3 linked regions of the Arabidopsis thaliana genome follow. The protein of the gene in region 2 interacts with the protein of the main gene of each other region in a pairwise test. Each region holds a gene or a part of one and is shown on either strand. Other genes may lie near its edges. The genes, in order: AGL89, ZFP2 and AT3G11280.

The links.
Region 1: the proteins of ZFP2 (region 2) and AGL89 interact in a two-hybrid assay, tested with the Arabidopsis thaliana proteins (one large-scale study listed by BioGRID).
Region 3: the proteins of ZFP2 (region 2) and AT3G11280 interact in a two-hybrid assay, tested with the Arabidopsis thaliana proteins (one large-scale study listed by BioGRID).

Annotation. Positions count from the first base shown.
Region 1 is NC_003076.8:9,734,589-9,737,921, forward strand, and holds AGL89 (AGAMOUS-like 89), read left to right. Parts: upstream 1-1,936; 5' UTR 1,937-2,062; coding exon 2,063-2,734; downstream 2,735-3,333. Other genes in the region: CDC20.5 (cell division cycle 20.2, cofactor of APC complex-like protein), read right to left, coding at 308-1,660.
Region 2 is NC_003076.8:23,294,052-23,297,375, forward strand, and holds ZFP2 (zinc finger protein 2), read left to right. Parts: upstream 1-1,600; 5' UTR 1,601-1,967; coding exon 1,968-2,420; 3' UTR 2,421-2,725; downstream 2,726-3,324. UniProt on the Arabidopsis thaliana protein: Probable transcription factor involved in the regulation of floral organ abscission. Participates in processes that directly or indirectly influence shedding of floral organs.
Region 3 is NC_003074.8:3,532,658-3,536,621, reverse strand, and holds AT3G11280 (Duplicated homeodomain-like superfamily protein), read left to right. Parts: upstream 1-1,627; 5' UTR 1,628-2,000; exon of another isoform or gene 2,001-2,226; 5' UTR 2,227-2,228; coding exon 2,229-2,632; intron 2,633-2,757; coding exon 2,758-3,145; 3' UTR 3,146-3,411; downstream 3,412-3,964. Other genes in the region: AT3G11290 (Myb/SANT-like DNA-binding domain protein), read left to right, coding at 1-190, 263-856.

The sequences.
Region 1 (3,333 bases), about 14 Mb from region 2:
ACAGAGCCTTTGATGGGGAAAAATTCAATCTTTGAATCGAAAAGAGTTGTTCTTCCAAAAACAAATTAAGCTTCAGTAAGCATCAACATCACAGAGTTTTACATAAAAATCTCATAAAGAAACATATACTACTACTACCTACTCTAGTTCTGTTTGACTCAACAGTTTACATATATTTTTGGTTTTGTATTAAGTATTAACTATATAAAATTCATGAATAATGAATCAGGAAAAAAGATGAATACATTGCTTCTCTATACATTATTACCTATCAATGGTTTTCTCCTTGTTAGTCTTCACAGTAGATTCACCTAATATGATTCACATGAGCAAATGGATCCGTATATTTTTTTGAAGCAGCTTTCTTGGTGGTCTTAGGTGGTTCTCCAAAAACATTCCAAAGCCTGAGAGTCTCGTCACCGGCTGCAGAAGCCACGGTACAACCATCCGGACTCTGTGCCATAAAAAGAACTCTTGATGTATGACCATTGAGTTCAGCCATTTTCACCATAGATGGGTACTTCCAAAGTGTAAGCTGGTTCTGTGTAAACCCATGTGAGCTAAGCAACTCTCTTTCACTTTTGCTCCATAACAATGAACAAACTTGAGAGCCAGTTTCTACTGAATTCAAGCAAGCCCCAGTGTGTGTATTCCAGAACTTAATCTTCCCATCACCTACACCACCACCAGTTGCAAGCAAACTCGCTTGGAAAGGGCACCAAGCAAGAGCTCTCACTGCAGCTGTATGTTCCTCAAACCTATGCAGCCATTGCCTAGTTGGGTTTGAGGAAGCGACAGAACGATGATCCCAAATGTGTACTACATTGTCGTTACCACCACTTGCTAGTTTTTTTCCAGATTCTGACCACTTAAGACCACAAACCTCTTCTGTGTGACCCAAGTAAGTTTCAACAATAGATGATCTGATCCTCACATCATTGTTGACGATCTTTCCATCCATTCCTCCAGTTGTTAGAATGTGATTGTTCCATGCCAATGATCCTACTCTTGACTCGTGACCACCTCTCAGTGTTCTCACTTGACGATTGGAAACACAATCCCAAAGCTGGACTTCACTGTTGTCAAGACCAATTGCCAGATCAAGACCATCTTGCGTCCAGTTAATACTTGTGACAGGTCCCTCCTCTTCATCAATGGTCACAAGCTTATATGTAGAACCACTAGACGCATCCCACAAGTAAACAGTGTCTCCCAAAGCAATGGCTAAGACATTAGAACTGCCCCAATCCAACAAGTTAAGGTAGAAGTCATCCGCAATTCCAGGTGCATCCAAGACTCTCTCACTATTCTGAGGAATGTATCTACGAGGCTTTACGGATATAGGTTGTTGGTGAGGAGGATCAGAGTGATTACTAGAAAGCAGAGCTTTAGGTTTGTTTCTGAAAGCGAGAATCCGAGTGCGATTCTGATTCATAGCCTCAGCCAATTGCGTCATGTAGGCTTTTCTTGATGCTGAAGTTACCTCATCGACATTACGTTTTCTTCCTTGGGTAAGAGCGTAGTTAGCAAAGTCGAAATCCATGGCCGATCTATTCGGTATGAATCTGTCGAAGTTTTCCTTGGAAAGTTTCCGACGGAGAAAGTGTTCTACAAGTGGACACGAAGCTTGTGCCTTTAAATGTGAAGAAGTGTTCATCATAACTGTGATTAGAAGAAGACTAAACGAAATATGACAAAGAGACAAATAAAACCTGCGAAGAAGGAAACGTAAAGTAGATTCAAAGCAGAGAGACAGAGAGCGAATAGCGAATAGTGAAGGAAGATTGTGGCAATTTTAGGGTTTTTTGCTTTCTTTAATTCATTACATAGAAATTGTCAATTACGTACAACGGTTAGATATTAGTAAAATGGAAATCGGATCTAATTCAGATTTCCGTTAAAAATAAATAAAAGATTTTCATTACAGTTACTGAAGAAAAATGAAATAAATATGGAAATCGAATTTAACAAATTCAATATAAACCCTAATCCCAATTCTCTGACTTTATTTTCTCTTTGCAAGAAACTAAAGCTTCTTTCTTTCACCGTGTAAACAACAACAATGGATTCTTCAATGTCGACGAAGAAGAAAACCAAATTGTCTGTGAGAAACCAAACTTGTTTCAAGAAATCGTCTCTTTCTTCTTCTTCTACTGCAAAAAAGACCACGAATTTGTCTATGAGAGAAGAGACCATGTTTAAGAAAGCCTTGGAGCTTTCAACTCTGTGCGACATCGAAGTCTGTGTCATATATTATGGTCGTGACGGAGAACTCATCAAGACATGGCCGGAAGATCAATCCAAGGTTCGAGACATGGCTGAGAGGTTTAGCAAACTACACGAGAGAGAGCGACGCAAGAAAAGAACAAACCTTTCTCTGTTTCTACGTAAAAAGATCCTCGACGACAATAAATTGTCGGAGAAAGTCTTAGAGATGAAGGATTCGCTAGAAAGTGGTCTACGGGTATTACAAGATAAGCTTCTGTTACTCCAACCCGAGAACCAGACCGAGCTAGGTCAGAGCCGTGCGGTTTCTTCCACAACGAATCCATTGTCTTCTCCTGAGGATCATCATCATCAACAATGGACAGAACCATTGGTGACTGGTGTGTCAAACACAGAGCAAGACCTATCGACGTCACCATTGAGTAACCATCAGAGCAAATATTCAGTCTTTGTCTATAACCATGACAGCGGAAGCTTCTATCAAGTCCCTGACTCGATCTGTTTCTAGTTTAGATTATGAGTTTTAATTGTCTGATTAAGAGTTTGTGTTGAATTGTATGTTTTTCCTAAGTATTATCATTATGAATGCTATTCTCAATTCAATTTTTGTCTGAGTCAATTAGTTGGCTTTGTTGGATTTAGAAGCCAATGGTGAATTTCCAGATTACAATGCCTTGTGATTTTCCGATTAAAATTCTTCCAAGCCCTAACAATGGAGATTTGTTCAAGAGATCTCCTAACTCTCCTCTATGGTTTGTTACACACACATCAATACATGCATAACTTGTGCAATAACCTTCTATCTATTTATATACAACTCACTAGACTCTCAAGCTAGTGGTTAAACAATCTGTTTCTTCTTGCTCTGTTTTCACGTGCCTTCTCTGCTTCTCTTTGCTTATTCACGAGCCTCAACGAATCCGTTTGAGCTACCACACGTGCCTCCTAGCTTATCATAGGTCTTTTGATTCATGTTTGTACAAGCTTAAGTAAAGTGTATCCGGAGGATTGACATATACAATAGACATTGAATGTTAGATATCCATAACTTATGCAGATAATGCAGATAATACAACTAATTGAGCTTGCCTCTGTGAAATCTTTGGT
Region 2 (3,324 bases):
TCACATTTCAAGTTTTGGTTTATAAATGTGATTTGTCACTAATTGAGTGGTACAAACAAACTTACATGGACTACTTTTTAACGAATATAGGAGTTTTTGAATATATATATATATATATATAAGTCCTCAGCTTCTCCGAATGATCCATTTTGTTGGAGTTGCATGCATATGGTTTTTTTTTTTTTTTTTTTTTTTTGAGCAAAAACACGCATATGATAATTTTAAAATTATACGACATTCAAACATCTTTTTTTTTTTTGTTGGTTAGTAGTTAGCTTTTTAAAAATTAATAATTCATCAATCAATTTCACTTGGCTGGTTAGCAAAGTACCATAAAATTTAAAATCGATAAAACACAAAAATTAATTAAAGAAAGCGAAACAAGCTTGAGAGATTAGTACAAAGACGTAACCTCTCTCAATCTTTAAACGACAAAAGTCTTAATGAAACATATGTACACATGACATTGATGTGTCTTCATTGATCGAAAGTAATTAAAAATAATTGAATTTATGTGAAACAATTCAAACTGAAATGACTTCTACGATTATAAACTCACGAAAAGCAAAACGTGATATATCCAAAGTGGGTTCACTGTGGCGCAGTCCACATCTTATCTGGTACGAACTCCTTGTGAACCGTTGGATTGAGAGATTGATCGTACGGTGGGCGATGATTTCAATTAATTGGAAGTTAACATCATCTTACATGTTTAAGCTGAGTCAAAAAGCTTTATCTCGTTAAGTGTTCATTGCCATTACTGGAAACTTGATAAGAGAGCTTTGATCTTAACTTAAGTCTTTCATTTTTTTCATAAATTATTTAATGAACCTAACAGCTGTTTTGATTGAAACTCTCTATTAACTTTTTGTGTAGACAATTATGCCCCATGTAAAAGAAAAAAAATTCTCTCTTGATTAGATATTTGGACAAATTTTATGAGTTTTTTTTTTGGACAAATTTTATGAGTTTGTCTTACCATTTATAAGTACTAAAGTCAGAATTAAAGAAATTTAACTCCGAATATATATTTATGAACGACGTACATTACTATTTAACAACTTTATTCAAATTACAAATATAGTGATTTTTTTTCCAACCATATATCATAACGATATTATCGATCTAAATTTGTGATATACAATTTTGTATCTTGTCAACAATATGCTTATGCATGCTTTAACACAACAACTGATCCACTAGTATAAAACTACTAGGTTACATGTCGTTCCTAAGTTACAATCGAACTAATTTATTTGAATGAACCTTTTATAATCAAATTACTTTAGATAAAACCATTTTAGTAGATGTATTTCATAGCATGACGACATTATCTTAAACTGACTTTTTATTTTATTTTATGATGTCTTTATAGCTCATAGTATTTTTGGTATTAATTTAAATTTGAAGAAAAATAGATTTCTTGGTTATGCTTAGAAAACTTTGGTATGAATACATATCGATAATTCATTACAATCATAGTAATTTACGCAAGTCTATGGTATAACTATACACTTCCAATTAGAAAAAGGCATACATTAACTACAATGCTCAAATTAAACCAGATATCTTATGTGTCCGGTCTTAACAACTACCACATGGGACATAATTCTTGAGGTGTTTCAACACTCTAAAACGAGACCATTGGATATAATAAAATGATGTATCGAGAAATATATAAAACTCGGAGGTAAATAATATTAGATGGACCGACAAAGGGTTCAAAGGGTGCCATTAATGGAGGCGACAACACTTGGATTCCCACTGATTCTTTCAGCTTCCATGTCTCATCTCTCTACTCTCTCTCCATACTTTACAGTTGAAGTTGCACCCAACATGAGTTTTGAGCAAACCTACGCACCTTTACACCTTAAATATAATGCCCCTCAAGCCCAAACTCTTCAAACACACTTCTCTCATCTCTCTAATCTCTCTTTCTCTCTCTATCTCTAAGAATATATAAAGGTATGGACTACCAGCCAAACACATCCCTACGTCTAAGCCTACCAAGTTACAAGAACCACCAACTAAACCTAGAACTTGTTCTCGAGCCTTCTTCCATGTCTTCTTCTTCATCTTCTTCCACGAACTCATCATCATGTTTGGAGCAGCCTAGGGTATTCTCATGTAACTATTGTCAAAGAAAGTTTTACAGCTCTCAAGCTCTTGGTGGTCATCAAAACGCTCATAAGCTTGAGAGAACCTTAGCCAAGAAGAGTCGAGAACTCTTTAGATCCTCAAACACTGTTGATTCTGATCAGCCTTACCCGTTCTCCGGTCGCTTTGAGCTTTACGGCCGTGGCTACCAAGGATTTCTCGAAAGTGGCGGCTCGAGGGACTTCTCCGCCCGCCGTGTGCCGGAGAGTGGTCTTGATCAGGATCAGGAGAAGAGTCACCTTGACTTATCCTTAAGGCTCTAAAAGAATCTTATATTTTGTTAGTCTATATATTATCATATCAATTGTTAATCTTAAAATTGATTGTTTTACTTATTAGTCATTTCCTATTATCTGAAAGTTTTCTTTGTAAGTTGTAACTATGGTCCTAAATTCAAATCCAAATTTGATTTTGGAAGATGGTACCTAATGCAGTAGTTAAATAAGTTAAAAAAATGAAGGATCTATAATTCTCTATATAGATGGTTATTTTAAGTATATATAGTATGAGCACATCATATTACAACTGCATTATAAAATGAATGAATGTCGCTTGTATATAATACATTATTGATCAATCTAACAATGTGCCCCGACAAGGAGACATGTGCTGTGAAACAATACTTAGTTAAGTAAATTTCTATTAATAACATTTATTCACATATGACATCAGTATAAATACATGTATATACGTATCTATCCGTATATTCACTAATAATTGTATATTCTTTTTGAGTTCATTACGTCATCTAGTCATAAGATTTTTCCCTTCAAATATTAGTATATTACTAGTGTTTTCTTCTCTCTATATACATTTACTATATGAGCATTTTCACCATGTTCGGACTTTATATCATGTAAATATTTTATTTTCTTCATGCTGAAACCATCACTTTTAAAAGAACAAGATATTTTACTATATGTTATCTACAAAAAATTAAAAAATTTGATATGAAATTGAAAGGCATAAGTCTAAATCAAAATGATATAACGAAATAACAGGGTAATTAAGATTTTGTTTTTCCTATTTAGTATTCGACTTTTTTTAAGAAATACATATATTGTGTACCTTCATGACTCTCAATTCTCATCAATGAATGACTTACCAAAAAAACAAATCTCATCAATGAAAGGTTTTATTGAGTACCAAAAAAAAATCCAAAGTCGA
Region 3 (3,964 bases), on a different chromosome or scaffold from region 2:
AATGATCCTTGAGACTATCAATCAGAATACCGGTAAAAGCTTCACCAGACCGCAACTCAAGAATCATTGGGATTGCACCAGGAAATCGTGGAAGATCTGGTGTCAAGTGATTGGTGCTCCTGTCATGAAATGGGATGCAACTTCTCGAACATTTGGTGCTACTGATGAAGACTGGAAAAACTACTTGAAGGTATAAACGCTACTCGACTTTTTATATTAGTTGATTAAGTTTGCAGCTTAACATTGGTTCTTTGATTAACAGGAGAATCATAGAGCAGCACCATTCAGAAGGAAACAACTTCCTCACGCGGATAAACTAGCAACCATCTTCAAAGGACTTATAGAACCAGGAAAAGCCTATTTCCGTTCTTATCGCAGGAGAGTGCTTGATCATCATTCCGAATCACCACAGCTACATGACCCAACTCCATTATCAACACTTTACACAAACGAGCCAGTCTCAGGTAGTGAAGGTGGAGCTGATGAAGATGACAATGATGACGATGATGAGCAGCCTACTCCGCAGCACCGGAGATTTAACAGTGTTGGTTTTGCAGAGTCTCGGTTACAAGATGTTGAAATTGTAACTCCGGGATGCCACAGGTTAAAAACTGAGCTGATGAAGGAGAGTCCAGTGAGTGCATCGGTTAGGCAGTACGAGTATACCATTGGGGAATGCATTGAGTGTTTGGACTCCATGGAAGAGGTTGAGCAAGGTAGTGATCTTTACTTGTTTGCGTTGGATTTGTTTGTGAAGAAAGAGTACAGAGAGATTTTCTTGCTGTTGAAGAACTCAAGTTTGAGAATGTCTTGGCTGCTTAGACTTCGATCTGGTGGCCTTACCATTGCTGCCTAAGATCGTCATATTCTCCCAAACTTCTTCTGCTTATGTCTTATTATGCTAAACACTCTTGATTTATCTTTTGAACAGTGTGAGATGTTATATTATTAGGTTCCTTGAAAGATTTTATGACAGTCGAAATATTATAAGAGTTACTGGTTAACTTTTGTCGCAAGAAATTACTCTTGTCTCTATTGCAGATGAGAAATAAACTTCAAAGCATTCGTATCCTATCGTCTATGACTCTATGTAGCCTTCTCTTCTTCAAAATTAACTTAAGTTAAAAAACCTTGTACAGTTTGATTAGTTGATACAACCGATATACTTTTATTTGATTTTCTCTGTTTGCAGAAAGTAATTTAAAACTTATGTGAGCATCACAAGTAAAATGGAGAGATAGTGGGATTTAATGAGCTTTAGCTATTGAATCTGTCACACTTTCTAAAAATATTTTCCACCGACGCATAGATACTAAAACCAATCATCACTTAATTCCAGGTAAGAACTTAATCCTAAACAACCTCCTTAAGGAGACAAAATTAAGATATAAAAAGAGATAAATCGCGCCAGGTAGGGGTCGAACCTACGACCTTCTGCTTAGGAAACAGACGCTCTATCCACTGAGCTACAGGCGCTTTTGATTGTAATTATCAAAACATTATATTTATAACAAAACCATACAGTATGTCTCCGTGTGGACCAGAAAAAAGGCGATAGAACAAATTTGTCGTATTCCAAAGAATTAAATAATAGAATCAAATAGATCAATCAACTTTTTTTTTCTTTCTGAGAAAAATGAACCGCAAGAATCCGAGTGGAGTGGTGCCATTCGCTGTTCTCCAATCCAAATACGCCAAATCTTCCCAAAAATAAAGAAACCTTTCCTTTTCTTTCTCTTCACTCTGTTCCCATATCTACAGTGACTCTTCTCTCTCTGTATATTACTCTTCCTTCACTATCTCTCTCTCTTTACTGGGTCTTCTTCAGCTTCTGAGTCTTCTCCTCTCTCTCTATCTCTCAAGTGGGCTTTGCTTTGCTGTTTTTGTCTTCCTTCGACGACTCACTTTTGCAGATTCTCATAAATTCTTCAAAGCTTTGAGTCTTTTTTCAGATTCGAGGGTCGGTTTTATATATGCTTCAAATCTCTTACCCAAATCAGGTTCTTGATTCCCTCAGTATACGATTCTTCATTTTTCCTTCCCTTTTGTTTTTCTTCTTCTTTGATTCCTACTATATTATCATTAAACCTTATATATAAAAGCTTCCATTATTTCCTTATATCACAAATCTATCTTTTAAGCTTCCTCCACACATAGAGCAAGAAAATGGACTTTTTTGAGCTGTGTTTGTAGTTGAAACTTATTCTTCCCTTTTTTTGTTTTTAGGTATGGAGACTCTGCATCCATTCTCTCACCTACCTATCTCTGACCACCGGTTCGTTGTTCAAGAGATGGTGAGCTTACACAGCTCGAGTAGCGGTAGCTGGACTAAAGAAGAGAACAAGATGTTCGAACGAGCTCTTGCGATATACGCTGAAGACTCGCCTGATCGCTGGTTTAAAGTTGCTTCCATGATCCCTGGAAAGACTGTTTTTGATGTTATGAAGCAATATAGTAAGCTTGAAGAAGACGTTTTCGATATTGAAGCAGGACGTGTTCCCATTCCTGGTTATCCTGCAGCTTCTTCTCCCTTGGGGTTTGACACGGACATGTGTCGTAAACGGCCTAGTGGAGCTAGAGGATCTGATCAAGATCGAAAGAAAGGAGTCCCTTGGACAGAGGAAGAACACAGGTTAAGACACTCTTTCATCTCTACAGAATTCTTTCCATATAAGTCACTCTTCCTAGGTTCCTTGCAACGCAAGTCATCCCCTTTTTTCTTAGGGTTTTCAATGCTCTGTTTCTTGTTCCTTGCAGGAGATTCTTGTTAGGCCTTCTCAAGTACGGTAAAGGAGATTGGAGAAACATATCGAGAAACTTCGTGGTGTCAAAGACGCCAACGCAAGTGGCGAGCCACGCCCAAAAGTATTACCAGAGACAGCTCTCCGGAGCCAAGGACAAACGCAGGCCAAGTATCCATGACATCACAACCGGCAATCTTCTCAATGCCAATCTCAACCGTTCCTTTTCCGATCATAGAGATATTCTCCCTGATTTAGGGTTTATCGATAAGGATGATACGGAGGAGGGAGTAATATTTATGGGTCAGAATCTCTCTTCAGAAAATCTGTTTTCTCCATCACCAACTTCATTCGAAGCTGCCATTAACTTCGCCGGAGAAAATGTCTTCAGTGCCGGAGCTTAAGGCAACATAGAATCCCCAAACTCAGCGTTCTTAAGAATCTGAGTTTTGAAACTGTAATTAGAGAAATATAAGCAAAACCAAGTTTATTATATATGTATTGTGTGGTTTAAAAGTAAGAACTTGTTTTTACTCTGTATTTTTGTGTTTCTGTCTACTAAATACCTGTTATGTTAAAAAAAATCTGTGTTTTCTTTTCGATTAAATTATAGACTTATAGTTGTGAAAAAGAGTACTTGTGCTTTATGACAAGTTGATAACCCTAACAATTTACCACAATATATCTATTTTATGGTGTTAAATGCAAATTATAAAGATATACTGTAATAAAGACTTAAAGAGATTAAAAAAAAAAAAAAGACTCAAAGAGATCAAACACCACACAAAAATGAGAAATTTGTGAAACATGTTTTGGGTTAGATTTATTTAAGAAGATGGCTATAGTATAGTTTTAAATATTGAGTAAAGTTTTGGTGGAAGGTATGAAGAATTGATTTGAGTATAAAATAGAGGCTGAGTCTGCTTTCCACTTCTGACCAAAGAACCTCATTCTTCTCATCTATTACACCAACCTCCTGACTCATATATATATTAACGTATTTAGAATTACGTATAATGGTGTCATTTGTATAAAAAACATATATGAATGAAATGTTTATTTTATTTTTTAATCATTTGGTGCCCCAATCTAAACACTGCTCACATTTGAATTATGCAACTTGAAATAACTTTGATAAATTTATATTGAAACAACTTTGAAATATTATTTATCACAGTTCATATGCAAAGTTGGACCAAAGGCTACACTTAATCAAGCAATAG